3 linked regions of the Arabidopsis thaliana genome follow. The protein of the gene in region 2 purifies or fractionates together with the protein of the main gene of each other region. This does not show direct contact. Each region holds a gene or a part of one and is shown on either strand. Other genes may lie near its edges.

The links. Proteins that work in one complex are often made in the same cells at the same time.
Region 1: the proteins of HOG1 (region 2) and LAP1 fractionate together in Arabidopsis thaliana (co-fractionation; one large-scale study listed by BioGRID). This does not show direct contact.
Region 3: the proteins of HOG1 (region 2) and LAP2 fractionate together in Arabidopsis thaliana (co-fractionation; one large-scale study listed by BioGRID). This does not show direct contact.

The regions. Positions count from the first base shown.
Region 1 is NC_003071.7:10,286,302-10,291,618, forward strand, and holds LAP1 (Cytosol aminopeptidase family protein), read right to left. Parts: upstream 3,385-5,317; 5' UTR 3,150-3,384; coding exon 3,099-3,149; intron 2,974-3,098; coding exon 2,565-2,973; intron 2,470-2,564; coding exon 2,275-2,469; intron 2,179-2,274; coding exon 1,953-2,178; intron 1,850-1,952; coding exon 1,723-1,849; intron 1,646-1,722; coding exon 1,550-1,645; intron 1,466-1,549; coding exon 1,388-1,465; intron 1,297-1,387; coding exon 1,236-1,296; intron 1,137-1,235; coding exon 949-1,136; intron 848-948; coding exon 716-847; 3' UTR 505-715; downstream 1-504. Other genes in the region: AT2G24195 (uncharacterized protein), read left to right, coding at 192-289; AT2G24205 (ECA1 gametogenesis related family protein), read left to right, coding at 5,117-5,317. UniProt on the Arabidopsis thaliana protein: Presumably involved in the processing and regular turnover of intracellular proteins. Catalyzes the removal of unsubstituted N-terminal amino acids from various peptides.
Region 2 is NC_003075.7:8,052,941-8,057,681, forward strand, and holds HOG1 (S-adenosyl-L-homocysteine hydrolase), read left to right. Parts: upstream 1-1,732; 5' UTR 1,733-1,990; coding exon 1,991-2,701; intron 2,702-2,989; coding exon 2,990-3,736; 3' UTR 3,737-3,766; coding exon of another isoform or gene 3,767-3,823; 3' UTR 3,824-4,212; downstream 4,213-4,741. UniProt on the Arabidopsis thaliana protein: Essential protein during embryogenesis.
Region 3 is NC_003075.7:15,045,953-15,051,028, forward strand, and holds LAP2 (Cytosol aminopeptidase family protein), read right to left. Parts: upstream 3,487-5,076; 5' UTR 3,353-3,486; coding exon 3,119-3,352; intron 2,900-3,118; coding exon 2,485-2,899; intron 2,377-2,484; coding exon 2,182-2,376; intron 2,058-2,181; coding exon 1,832-2,057; intron 1,746-1,831; coding exon 1,619-1,745; intron 1,544-1,618; coding exon 1,448-1,543; intron 1,353-1,447; coding exon 1,275-1,352; intron 1,185-1,274; coding exon 1,124-1,184; intron 1,051-1,123; coding exon 863-1,050; intron 769-862; coding exon 637-768; 3' UTR 505-636; downstream 1-504. Other genes in the region: NFD1 (Ribosomal protein L21), read right to left, coding at 4,218-4,337, 4,455-4,529, 4,822-4,923. UniProt on the Arabidopsis thaliana protein: Presumably involved in the processing and regular turnover of intracellular proteins. Catalyzes the removal of unsubstituted N-terminal amino acids from various peptides.

The sequences.
Region 1 (5,317 bases), on a different chromosome or scaffold from region 2:
CATTATATATGAAAACTAAAACTGAATCATTGTAATAATATCTCTTCATTTTTGGCTTTTGTAATAATTATTCCGGTATGGACATACAGTTCTTTTTCAATTTGGATTGGTTCCTCTAGATACGTAAGCAATAAACTGGCATAACAGAAATGATTTGTTAATTGTTGCTTCTTTTTTTTCTGTTTTGAAAGAAATAGGAAACAGGGTTTGGGATCAAAAGATCTTCAACAATGTGAAGGTTCGTGTACTTCCCAGTGCTTCAAGGCGTGGACCTGGGCAAACCGGTTAGAAAATCAGTACTAAGGAACAAAAGGAGTATTAAGTAGAATAGTTACTTCAAAATATTATCAAAAAAATATTTTATTTTATGATAGATAAAAGTCATGTTTTGTAACCACTCATATGCTGTTTTTTTTTCAAAAGATGTTCAATTATTGCATTTGACATTATGGTTCATAAAATTTGAAGTGGTTACCGAAAAAAGTAATGAAAAGGAGAACCCAATGTTGAAGACTTCAAAAGTAGAAATTTCAGACAGTATTTTTGCACGACTAAAACAAAGTACCACTTTATTCAACTTTTGACGATTTTACTTTTCATAACAAGTTAAGAACATCTGAAAACATAGTAACTTTTGAGACCTTATTAAAAACCAGCAATCATTTCAACACCCGAAAAACTCTACAGTCTCTCCCTCACGCTCTCTAGGTTTCATTCACGAAGATGAATTCTTCTGTACCCATTCAACAAGCGTAGCAACACCAAACCCGGTCCCAGACTTCTTCTTCTCGTTCCACACCGGTCCAGCCATGTCGATATGCATCCATTGCACCTTCTCACTCACAAACTGCCATACCACAGAAAATAGAGGATGGTTTAGTTACTTTCACCGACGAATTTTTTGTCAAAAACATGTATGTATAGCCTCTAAAGGGACTTTGTTTTCACCTGTTTCAAGAAGAGAGCCGCGGTGATGGATCCTCCTGCCCGCCCGCCTGTGTTGACCATATCAGCCACTCCAGACTTCATCATCTCCCAATAGCTCTCTTCCAGTGGCATCCTCCACAGCTTCTCTCCACTCCTTTCTGATGCAGCAATCACTTCCTTTGCAAGCTCGTCGCTAGGTGTATAGATTCCTATCAAGTAATGAACACAGAATGATCATCATGAGCCAATTTTGGACTCAAAAACGACACAAAGATTGAGTTTTTCTGCAGGGTTTTTGAGCTGTGTACCTGCCATTGAAGTTCCAAGAGCAATAACACAGGCCCCGGTCAAAGTAGCGAGGTCAACAATCTGCAAGATATTTGACAATGTTTAACTGAAAGGATAAATTTAACAGAAACAAGCTCCTTTAGCTTCTCATATCAATAAAGTAATGCAATACCTTGTCGACGCCTTGGTTACAAGCATACACTAGAGCATCTGCGAGTGTTAGACGACCTTCAGCATCTGTGTTGTTGACCTACACACACCATCGCCAACAATTAGCATTTCATAGGAAAAACAGTAAAAGCTCAACTCTGAGGGGGAAAAAATCATCAGATACCTCAATGGTCTTTCCGTTTGAGGCAGTGATGACATCTCCAGGTCTCATTCCGGTTCCACTAATCATATTTTCACAGGCTGCAACGATGAAATGAACCTGGTTGTGGAAGACGAATCTGTTCAGTTCGGTTAACAAACTATAGCTTTCAAAAGAATCTGATGGGAGAAACTAACCTCAACACCAGGAGGCTTAATCTCACCAATAGCTTTCGCAGCGCCAAGAACAGCAGCTGAACCGCCCATGTCGAATTTCATGAGCTCAATTGAGCAGCCAGGTCCAGTCTTAATGTTGTAGCCACCACTGTGTACACAAGATATTCAAATCAACAACCACTAAAATAACAAAGAAAAGATACCAGCTCGTAACAGAGTAAAATTCAAAGCAATACAGAATGATTAGTTACCTGTCAAAGGTCAATCCTTTTCCAACAAGAGCAAGTTTGGTCTTAACAGAGCCATTCGGAGGTTTATAGACAAGGTGGATGAAGTGAGGAGGATTAGCCGACGCAGCAGCAACAGCTAGGTAAGAACCCATCTTCAACTCTTTGCATTGCTCTTCGTTCAAGATGTTTGCAGTGAAGACATCACTGTACGTAGAAGCCACCTTTGCTGCTTCCTCAGCTAGTACAGCTGAAACGATACAAAAATCAAAGCAGTTTAGGAAAACTCAGCGAACACCACACAAACACGAAAATATTTGATTTCATAAATGACAACAATTCATACCAGGAGTAAGCACATTGGCAGGAGAATTAATGAGCTCTCTCCCGAAAATTACACCGTAAGAAACATCTTCAGCATACTTCAGCTTCTTTTCTACCTCAGCCCCAGTTCCAAATCCAATAATATCAACAGCTTTCAAAGATGGTTTCTTTGATTCAGACTTATACCTACCATCTTCAAATAAACCAAGTACTATGCCTATCCAAAAATAAACAATGAGACCCCAAATCAGTTCCAATTTCCAAAACAGTACTAAACAAGACTCGAACTTGTGTTATACTAATTGAAGTTACCTGAAGCTAAAGCTGATACAGAACTAAGCTTAGATTCATCAGAAACACTTGAAGCAAGCACAATAGCAGCACTAGTAGATTGAGAAGCTTTTGAAACTGTAGCTACAGCTTCACCAAGGCTATGAAAAGCCACCGGAGACGAAACAGACTGTCCAAGACCGATCAAAGCGATTCTCTTTGATCCTAAACCCGGAAGCCTGAGAACAGTCGATTGACCAGGTTTCCCAGTGAAATCTTCCTCGGAAGAGACTTGAGCTAAAAGTCCACTTAAGTGAGCATCGACCTTGCTCAAGATCGGATTCTCAAACTTTGAGTTACCGTCTTTGGCTAAGTCCTTCTCTGTCACACCAACTACGAGTATGTCTCCTTTCCATTCAATTACATCGATCTCCTTCGCAGTGAACGAGATCTGCATAATCGTCACCAAAAGATCAAAACTTCAAACTCGAATCAATCAAAAAATCAAAACTTTGAACTAAATCAAAACTGGATTCCATACAAAATCATTTCAAAATCACAGTGAAGGAAACAAACCTTGTGAGGCTCAGTGGAGTTGGGTTGAGTGAGACCGAGAGTGTGAGCCATGGTTATTGCTATTGAAGAGAGGTGTTGTGTGATTGAACTCTGAAAAGGAAGACGAAAGAGTAAACAATGAAAAGTTAGGATTGGTCTTTCAAAGGCGTATATATAGAAGGAGAAGTTAGGTGTGATTTACACATGTGTGATGTGTGTTAGTGAGTAGCTCAATTAGGCTTGAACATTCGGACTTCGGATTGGATTTTATTACGATAATTCGGGTTTTGGATTTGTAGGGTAAAATAGGGTTTTGGATTTTTTAGACATTCGGACTTTGAATCGGATTTTATTAGGGTAATTCGGGTTTTGGATTTGTAGGGTAAGACATGGTTTTGGATTTTTTAGATAGGGAGATTTCGGAAGGTACTGAATATGTTTCGATCGGTTCGTTTTGGATTTATACGGGTTCGGAATGGTTCTCGAAAAAAAAAAAATGCGACCATAGAATCGAAATATGTTCTGATTCGATTTTTGAATCGAAAAACTCCAAAAACCTAAACGATGTATATAGAAAAACGCTCCAAATGATCCTTAAAATCCAAAAATATGTGTATATATTGTTTTGTGTTTTTTGGGTTTACGTTTGGATTTTATTTTTTGGTATAATGGTTGGGTTGTAGGTGTTTTTGAGTATCCGTTTGGGTTTCAATTTTTTTTTAATGTTCGGATTTCAGATTTTACCAGTATATAACCGAAAATCGAAACATATAATTTAAGATCTGTTAGGATAATAACAACTTTTTGATTTGGAAATTTTTTTGGGCGAATTTCTTAAGAGAAGGTCGAAATAATAAAAGACAAAATTATAGTAGAAGTTGTTATTTTCAGCAACCTTATCAAACATATCTCTATGAGATATGCAAAAGTTTTAGCTTCAGTCGTGTTGAAGTGTTCTAGGTGGAATGGTTTAAATGGGTGAAAGGGCATCGATCATGCTATCGAGCTAGTCACTTCTGACTCTGATTTTGGGCACTGTTTCGTCGATCGTTGGTCATTTTGTGCCGCCTTTGATATCTGATCAAGTATCCACAAATCCGTCCACACCAATATTTTGAAGGTAAACCCCATTTCCTAATATCAAAAATACTATTCGCCGTCCGGAACATTGACAAGTACACGGCGTACCAGTCAAACATGGAGCCTAATCAATTCAACTATTTTTTCTATTTTGTTTTGTCGACAATGGTCTAATTGATACATGAGAAATTAGGCTGTATGACCATAAAAATTTAATAATTCAATAACTAACTTAAAAAAAGTTGACTACATGATTATGTGTATAACATGTAATATATACTAATCTACCCATTTGTTCACATGTCATATGTATCTTTTGATTCTTTTTCTGAATTTTGTCTTCTTTTTTTCTTTTGTATTTTGAAGTATGATCATTTTTAATTGTGTTTATGTTAAAATTTTAATAATATTATTGTTACTAATAAAATTTCACATTATGACTTTTACTATTTTAAAATCATTTTTTATTTTATTAGTTTTTTGTTAATAATTAATATTAATAGAAATAAATATTTATTAAATGAACATTGTAATTATAATTTAGTGTTAAAAAAAAAAAATGGTGACATGGCTTTGTTTGATTGGATGTTTACCATGATGATATGTACACATTAAGAGAACAGAAAACTCTTCCATAATATATATTAGTTAATAACACTAAGAATGGTGAGAGTGATATTAACATGGACATGGTTCCATTTTCATAATGCGTTTTTTGAAAGACAATCGTTACATTTTCAACTCTTTTTCAATGTTGGAAACCGCAAATTAATTACCAAATAGGCAAATAAATACTCGAACGAGTTTCATTAAAGATAATTAAAGCCAGTTCTTCATTTCTTTCATATAAATCAGACAATAATCCCATGTTATTTTCATCACCCAGTTACAAACTTGAAAAAGAATCACACATCAGAATATTTTAATTTTTCTTTTGTTTTGCCATAAGAATATATATCATGACGATAAAGAATGTACTTTTTGTTCTAGTAACCATTTGTGTAGCAGTTTCTGTAAATGCTCAACTACAGCAATATCCGATTATTTTCTCAAACCCGCTTCCATTTCTGCGCTCGACTGGTATACTAAACCTACCAGACGTAAAAAAATGTTTCTCGTCCGTGAGGAATGTTCCAGGATGCTTATTAGAGATCTCTCAA
Region 2 (4,741 bases):
ATATTTTGACTTGGTGCTGGCCATTTGTAAGAATAGCATAAGCCACCAGTCACCAAGATTATTCATCGTAAATTGTAACAAACTCACCATTATTTGGAGAGCCCAAAGATACTACTCAATCTTCTTACCATAAACTTTTGTCACTGTCTTATAAGCTATAAGATTACTGGTCTACTTAACTCAGAAATATTTATGTCCTTTGTAGCCAAAAGCTACACTGAAATTGACACAACTCGAGTGTTGTCCTTTTCTGGTCGATTGAATAGAATCGAATGTCTTAATCCAGTACCCTCCAGCTTTTATTTCGTGTAATTTATTTTCCAAACCTACCACTACCAGTTTCATAACTCTCGAATAAATTTATCAAATAGTCTTTTGAGTGCTCAAAGTCTTGGGATAATAAATGGTCAGTGCTATGTATCACCCGGATGTGAAACATTATGGGTGGAGATAGACTATTATAAATTTATTGAAATATACGATTGTTACTCGTTTAATAGCAAAAGTAGTACAATGTATATAGTTTCTATCGAGAACAAGATCTATTTAAAATTCGAAAAGTACATTTAAAATTCATAAACATATAAAGATAGTAACATGTTAGATCTGCATAGTACCACCAAAACAAGAAAAAAGAAACGCACATCGCCACATAATTGCTATGATTCTCACTGTCGGCTGCTTTGAAATATTACGATTCTTTTGGTAAATCACACAACATAATATAATTACAATAAATATATATATACTAAAGTATAATTAATATAATTAATACCACATTGTTTAATTCTGTTTTGATCTTTTAAGATCAGTCAGATCCACCGACGTTCCTACACGCGCAGGTCCAGATCCAAACAGCACACACACACACACAATGCCACTAGTGTAAATGCTTGGTGGCTATTGCATTTGCACCTATTGATACTCTTTCTTCAAAAACAAGTTATTGTTTTTATTTTCAACCCAACTTTAATACGGATTCATACTGGGATTTAGGTGTTAAATCTGATAATTTAGGTTTGAATAAGTTGTATATTTGTTTCTTTGATTAAAAAAAGAACCTATATATATACAAAAATAAATAAAAAGTTCTAGATTTCAATTTTCCGTATATAGCGGGTTGAATTGTCTATTTTAATATGAAAATTGACGGATCTTATAAACAAAATGTTCTGAAATATGTAAAAGGATTTAGCCAAAGTTAACCAAAAAAAAAAAACAAACAGAAAAGTCACATTCACATGTCGTGGTAGATCTAAGGCATTAATTTAGAAATATGTCGTTACAATAAGCGGAGAACATGGGACGTTTCTCGTGGTCCAATCAGACGAACGAGATCTCATAAATTAAATGACTTCAGACGAGGGAATTCATGGCAGAATGATAATGCAACTTAAGTGACTTTAGAGTGAAAATGATACGAGAACAATGCATAATCCATATGACCGTTGAGTGAGTGATACCATTAGCGCGATACAAGCGGGACTATAAACTGATCTAGATTGTTTTTCTTGGGAAAAAATGTTACAAATTTTAAATATGTAGTTTGAATTGTTAAACCAAGATTCAACAGAAATATACCGTAAATAAACAACAGTTGATAATAGTCATCGAAAAGATATCAACTGATTCTTCACTTGGGCTACTGTGACGGCCCGTTAGGGTTCTCAATATAAGTCAATAACTACGATCTACGATTCACTGAAACAAATAAAACACAGCCACGTGTCCACCCTCCCACATCACCGTCCGATCTAACCCACGACAAGCTTACAACACGGGTCATACCGCTCGTGCAGCGTGTTCCGTCATCCACGGGATTACAACTTCTACCAGATCCACCAAACCCTCAAAACAATCTGAACCGTTCATTTCATTTTGACCTCATCTATATATTCTCTGTCACTCCCTTTCTCTTCTCCTCGCACACACTTCTCTCTCTCTCTCTCTCTGCCTCCTTTCGGATTCAAATCTCAGATCTAGCTCAACCATGGCGTTGCTCGTCGAGAAGACCTCAAGTGGCCGTGAATACAAGGTCAAAGACATGTCTCAAGCCGATTTCGGTCGTCTCGAACTCGAGCTCGCCGAAGTTGAGATGCCTGGACTCATGGCTTGTCGTACCGAATTCGGACCTTCTCAGCCATTCAAAGGCGCTAGAATCACCGGATCTCTTCACATGACCATCCAAACCGCCGTACTCATCGAAACCCTAACTGCTCTCGGTGCTGAAGTCAGATGGTGTTCCTGCAACATCTTTTCCACTCAAGACCACGCCGCCGCAGCCATCGCTCGTGACTCCGCCGCTGTTTTCGCCTGGAAAGGTGAGACTCTTCAGGAGTACTGGTGGTGTACCGAGCGTGCTCTAGATTGGGGTCCAGGTGGTGGTCCTGATCTGATTGTTGATGATGGTGGTGACGCTACTCTTTTGATTCATGAGGGTGTTAAAGCTGAGGAGATCTTTGAGAAGACTGGTCAAGTTCCTGATCCTACTTCTACTGATAACCCTGAGTTTCAGATCGTGTTGTCTATTATCAAGGAAGGTCTTCAAGTTGATCCTAAGAAGTACCACAAGATGAAGGAGAGACTTGTTGGTGTCTCTGAGGAAACTACCACTGGTGTTAAGAGGCTTTACCAGATGCAGCAAAATGGAACTCTTTTGTTCCCTGCCATTAACGTTAACGACTCTGTCACCAAGAGCAAGGTATTGATCTTCAGATTTGTTTCTTTACTAGTGATGATAAATCTGCTAGGTCTTTAGCTCTGTAGTTTTTGATGCGATAGGCTTAACAACAACATAATCACTAAGTAGAAGCAAGCTTTTCATTGTTGGTTGTTGAAAGTATTACGATCTAGTAGAGAAAAGTCCTTCCTTGGTTACAGAATTTGCATGAAAAGTCAATATTTCTCATGCTTTCTTTGATTTTATATTCAACGTTTTGTTTACACTTATGTGCTGTTACTGATAAATTCATTTGTTCTTGATTTACAGTTCGACAACTTGTATGGTTGCCGTCACTCACTCCCTGATGGTCTCATGAGGGCCACTGATGTCATGATCGCTGGAAAGGTTGCTGTTATCTGTGGATATGGTGATGTTGGAAAGGGTTGTGCTGCTGCCATGAAGACTGCTGGTGCTAGAGTCATTGTGACTGAGATTGATCCCATCTGTGCCCTTCAAGCTTTGATGGAAGGACTTCAGGTTCTTACCCTTGAGGATGTTGTCTCAGAAGCTGATATCTTTGTCACCACCACCGGTAACAAAGACATCATCATGGTCGACCACATGAGGAAGATGAAGAACAACGCTATTGTGTGCAACATTGGTCACTTTGACAATGAGATTGACATGCTTGGACTTGAGACTTACCCTGGTGTGAAGCGTATCACCATCAAGCCACAGACTGACAGGTGGGTGTTCCCAGAGACCAAGGCTGGAATCATTGTCTTGGCTGAGGGTCGTCTGATGAACTTGGGTTGTGCCACTGGTCACCCAAGTTTCGTGATGTCTTGCTCTTTCACCAACCAGGTGATTGCCCAGCTCGAGCTCTGGAACGAGAAAGCAAGCGGAAAGTACGAGAAGAAGGTGTACGTTCTTCCCAAGCATTTGGATGAGAAGGTTGCATTACTTCACTTGGGCAAGCTTGGAGCCAGGCTTACAAAGCTGTCAAAGGACCAATCTGACTACGTCAGCATTCCAATTGAGGGACCATACAAGCCTCCTCACTACAGGTACTGAGAGAGAGAGAGAGTCGACAAAGCGGTTCAGGTTCGGATCTACTTGTGGTTTTGTGTTGGGTTGTGGTGGGAGAGTGGAACAGTTTGAGATATTGGTCTTCTGATGAAGTTGACCAAATATCAGTATTAATAAGGGTTATTGGCTTTTGAAGGTTGTGCTTGTTTTCTCCATTTTTCATGAAACTTAAATTAGTTTTTGGTTTAGTTTCCCTCTTGATTTTATTTTGTGTGTTCTGTTTAGCGTTGTACTCTTCAAACAAATGAGAAACCAAAAAAAAAGGGGAAACTTGTTTTCGGCATCCCAGTGTTAGCGACTTTTGTTGAATGAATGTCTCAAATGCTCATCTTTAATAATGTGTGTTAGGACACGAACAACACATGGTTCGATTCGTGGGGGATTTTATGGTTGTAGTTATTATCGTACACGTTTCAAAGTTCTCTTAAGTATTCAAAAAGGCTTTTCCAATATAAATTTTTGATAGCATTTAGCTATAAGATTCGTTTTCATTTTCTTCAATTCTATGTCATCACTGATAAAATCTGCTTTGAAAATTTCAAAATTTATTACTTTTGCAAGAAGAATGTGAACGTTCCTACAAAGAGAGGGGTAGAAAATAAAAACTGGACTCGAAGTAGGAACCCAAACCCGACTGAAAATACTCAAGAGTCCAAGCCCGTTCTAGATAAATACCAAAATGGGTCTTAAGGCTTGGTATTCGGGTACATGATAATATCTGATCCGAACTGAAACATGAACTGTTTACCCGAAACCAGTGGCGGAACTACGTAGGGGGCAGGTTAAAATTCAAAGTGGTGAACGAGTACGGCCTCGAGAGTTTATGGAGTAAGATTCGAATTAGCGTTTCCTACGAAACGCATGAAACCAGTACGTTCGACCAAGAATGATGAGGAGGTTCTTCTGGTTCTCGATGCAAACTTGGGCTTGTACAACTTTGAGTGTAGTACTTGAGAGGAATTAATCTAGAAATCCACGGTGTTGAATTCG
Region 3 (5,076 bases), 7.0 Mb from region 2:
GTCTTAACTAAATTAAGAGTCATTGGTTTAGACTGGTTAAGATCCGGTTCAATAATCAACAACAAACACGGGAGATAAGGTTCGCCGTTACCTTTCTCGGCGATTACTCTCGGTGGATCTGCTCGGGGCTCGATGAGGCGGTTTAAGCTCACGGCAGTAAGGTCTCATAGCTCAACAATCAAAACCAAAACAAAGCACAGATCATAAGAGAAAGCCAAAAACTTCCTGAGCAAGTTACATAATAGATCTAGGGTTTCCTTACCCTTAACGGCCTTGGCGATGGACTACGACTACTCCGGTGACAGCGGTTGACATCCTGTGACTCGTGGTGTCACTCTCCGGTGACACACGGTGGCTGTAGTGGTGATGAACGGCGACTATCTCTCCTTCTCAACAACTCACGGACCCATTCAAATACAACAACATGACGGGACACAGCAACAACGGTGGCTCAACTGTGTCTCTCACGGTGGTTGTTGAATTTAAGTTTAGACTAGGTAAGCATACAACAACAAAACTAATCTTCTGATTGATTTAACTTGTCATACTTAGTTGCACAAAAAAAAAAAACTTGTCCCACCACACAAAGCAAAAACACAACTAGTTCACATCAGTCAGAGATCACCAGACTTCATCTTAAGAAGAAGAATGGTTCTGTACCCACTCAACTAGTGTCGCAACTCCAAACCCAGTTGCAGCTTTCTTCTTCTCGTTCCACACTGGTCCAGCCATATCTATGTGCATCCACTCAACATCCTCGCTCACAAACTGCAACCATTAACCAAACCCGGTTCTTCGTTAGAGAACAATAGCGTCAGTATTGAAATGTGTTCTTTTGTTTCCACTCTTATGATATACTCACCTGTTTCAAGAAAAGAGCCGCGGTAATGGATCCACCTGCACGGCCTCCAGTGTTAACCATATCTGCAACACCTGACTTCATCATCTCCCAGTAACTCTCTTCCATAGGCATTCTCCATAACTTCTCTCCACTCCTCTCTGATGCAGCAATCACCTCCTTTGCAAGCTTATCACTAGGTGTATATATGCCTGCAGAAAAACCAATAGTCAACCATCACGAAAGAATTTTATTCTGTCTTATTTAAAACACAAGACTATGTACCTGCCATTGATGTTCCAAGAGCAATAATACAAGCCCCAGTCAATGTTGCAAGGTCAACAACCTGCAAATATTGTAATTCACAAGTTGAGACTTGAGAGAAAAACCAACAGAAAGAATGTATTAATAAGTCGAAGAATCTTTGAAACAATACCTTATCGACACCCTGGTTGCAAGCATAAACTAAAGCATCTGCAAGTGTTAGTCGACCTTCAGCATCGGTGTTGTTGACCTGCAATACCACCCACAATTAGTTTGGCGTAAAACTAACAATGGAAAGCTCGAACCTTTTGAAGCTGAATTCATATGGAAACGGTGTTATGATACCTCAATCGTCTTTCCGTTTGAGGCTGTGAGGACATCTCCAGGTCTCATTCCAGTACCACTTATCATATTCTCACAAGCTGCGACAATAAAGTGCACCTGATTGTGCAACGAAGCATTTGTTTAGGTACATTCATTTAACTCAGAAACGCAAGCTCCGTGTGATAAACTTACCTCAACACCTGGAGGCTTAATTTGACCAATGGCTTTTGCAGCGCCAAGAACAGCAGCTGAACCTCCCATATCGAATTTCATGAGCTCAATTAAGCAGCCAGGCCCGGTTTTAATGTTGTAGCCACCGCTGTGAACAAAAACCATCTGGTCAATAACTAATAAGTATTAAATAAAGAGATTGATGCGGCAAACAGAAGCCAACAGCTCTAGTACCTGTCAAATGTCAATCCTTTTCCAACAAGAGCAAGTTTTGTTTTAACAGGGCCACTAGAAGGTTTGTAGATAAGATGTATGAAATGAGGTGGATTAGCTGAAGCAGCAGCTACAGCAAGATATGAACCCATCTTCAACTCTTTGCATTGCTCCTCGTTCAAGATGTTGGCAGTCATGACATCACTGTACATGGAAGCCAGATTCAAGGCTTCCTCAGCTAGTACGGCTGTAAGATACAAAGCAGATTAGAGAAAAATGTTTGAAATAAACTTCAACAGACATGATGCTCACATTATTAAAAAAAAAAAAAATGAAAAGTCTAAGACTGATGCTCAAGAAACAATCCTCACCAGGAGTGAGAACATTGGCTGGAGAATTAACGAGTTCTTTCCCGAAAATAACGCCATAAGAAACATGTTCAGCATACTTAAGCTTCTTCTCTAGTTCAGGTCCAGAGCCAAAGCCAATGATATCTACAGATTTGAGTGATGGTTTCTTCGACTCAGACTTATACCGGCTGTCTTCAAACAAACCAAGCACTGTGCCTGTAAAAATAAACAACAATTCCACATAACGATCAGTTCCAAAATGGTAATGAAACAACCATTCTCGAGCTTTAATAGACGAAACCACAACAACAACAAATAAAACACCTGAAGCTATAGCTGACGCAGAACAGAGCTTAGATTCATTAGAAACACTCTCAGAGGAGGCGAGAACAACTGCAACACTGCTAGCTTGAGAAGCTTTAGCAGCTGCAGCAACAGCCTCACCGAGACTCTGAAAAGCCGAAGGAGTTGAAGCAGATTTTCCAAGACCAATCAAACCAACTCGCTTAGACCCAAGACCCGGAAGCCTAAGAACTGTCGACTGACCAGGTTTCCCAGAAAAATCTTCCTCAGACGAGACATCAGCTAAAAGTCCACCCAAGTGAGCATCAAGCTTCTTCAGAATCGGGTTTTCGAACTTGGAGTTCACATCCTTAGCCATGTCTTTCTCCGTCACTCCAACAGCGAGTATATCACCTTTCCATTCCGTCACGTCGATCTCCTTCCCCGAAAATGAGATCTGATACAGCAAATTCGACTAATCAGAATCCAATTAACCACAAAAATTCAAACTCGAAAGCTAATCTCTGACAAGACTTGACCATAATCGAAGTCAGCAAATCAGTGGATCATCTTAATCGGAAACAGTAAAGCGACGAATCTACAAAGCATTCACTAGTATCGAGTTTAAACACATAACAGCAAAATCGAATAATGCTGCAAGCGATCAGGAACAAACCTTAGGATGATCGACGGAGTTAGCCTGAGTGAGGCCGAGAGTAGCGTGTGAGATTGTATGAGCCATGGCTCTAGAAGAAGAGTAGAGAGGCGTGACGGCAAAAGCGAGTCTAAGGCGAGAGGGGAACTGGAATCGGACGAAACAAGAGGAGAGAGACGACGGAGAAGAGGAGAATGAGCGGAAATGGAAGCGAGAAGACGAAGAAGCGAAGGACGTTACCAAAGTGACGGCCATTTGAGTAACGCACTGAGCTTCTCTTATTTATAAGGAGAAGAAAAGCCGCGTTTGTGCTTATCTCTCTCTCTCTCTTGTTGACGATGATTCTTCTTTTACTTGACTCATTGTTTGCTTTTATCCAACCCGTCCCCACCCGACCCGATCTTAACCATGGACTTACGTACTCGTGTAGCTTTATAATTCTCTTTGGCTCCAAATTGCTTTTGTTTAAGTTCTTTATACATATTTATACAAACAATGGTTTTGATACTATTTACAAACATTCAAATATTTCAAGGCATTCTTACACGATTTTCCGATGTTGATAAAAGAAATTATAAATCAGTTCCAAGTACTATCAATTCTGTGAATCATTTGTTGATGAGGAAGTGGTTGCCATATATAGTTACAATAATAATCACCTGATCTAAAGAGTCATAGTGGAAAAAATCGAGATTTTGAGTGTAATGTGACTTGCAGTTATTACCAATTTACCACCAGTTTCATATCTGTGACCGAGACTTGCATGAAGAAGTAAATTAAACCATAACCAAACCACAGTAGTACAGTACAAAGTACAAAGCATAGAGAAGATAAGGAGAGAGATGTTTCCGCAAATCTTTATTTCTGAAACAGAAGCAACAAACAGCTCCCACAAGCATGAGCCAGTTTAAATACAAAATGAAGAGCAAGGAGAACAAGACAGTGAAAGGCAAATCACATTTCATATCTCAGGAGCCTAGTTACTTACCACTAACTACCAAGAAGGCCTTTTCATCATTTCAACGACTTTAAAATCTAGTTCTTAGTGAACAGCAAGTGATAATTTAACTTACTTCAAATGTATCGGCATCAGCAAAAAAGAAAGAAGCAAATTTTATCTCTAAGCAACTAGCTCAGCCTTCGTCTGTTCTGTAACAGCTTCTTTCGAAGGCTTATGGACGATCTTCGGTTCTGGTTTTTCAATTCCTTGTATATCGGTTATTCTCAACTTCGTCAATTCCTGGACACAAGTGTTGAATGGTCAAAAACAACAATCATAACACAGTGGAAAGAACTAGAAGAAGGCAAAGATGAAATAAACACACTGTCTATCTAAACAAGGAGTTATAAAGTATACCTGTCGATGTCCTCTCGTTCTCCTATAATTCTTTCTTCGTTTCTTTTTGAAAATGAGCACTTTTTCATCCAAAGCCTGTCACGCATCAAGGAAAAACTAGTTGAGTAATGCTGGTACATGAGTAGATCCTTCTACATTCCAAGCCCATCTTAAATCAAGACATTCAGATGATGTAGAGATAGATGAACACTAATCTAATGACTTGCAAGACTTTCACAAACTAATCAGCAGACAGTTTGATTTAGTTTCTCTCAGTCACCGGATTCAGCAAGCAAACTCTCATCTATCCTCTTTTCAATTGTAAATTATTCTTAAGCACAGCTTCACTAGTATTATAAAACACCAAGCAAGTCAATGAGACACTTACATGCTCTTCAACTACAGCATGAACTGTCGCATCTGGCAAAATAGGCCTACCAATAATCGTCTGGCTTGCCGAGCCCAATAGAAGAACCTTGGTTAGTTCCAACTGCAAAGGGACATAAAGAGAAAGGTTTTAGCAACAATCATAAATCATAAACACAAATGCAAAGGTTCGTCCTTCTTACGAGAGATACGGTAAAGTCTAGCCCTTTGAGAGAAGAATAGCAAAGATTAACGAAGAAGAGCTTGAAGCTAGCAT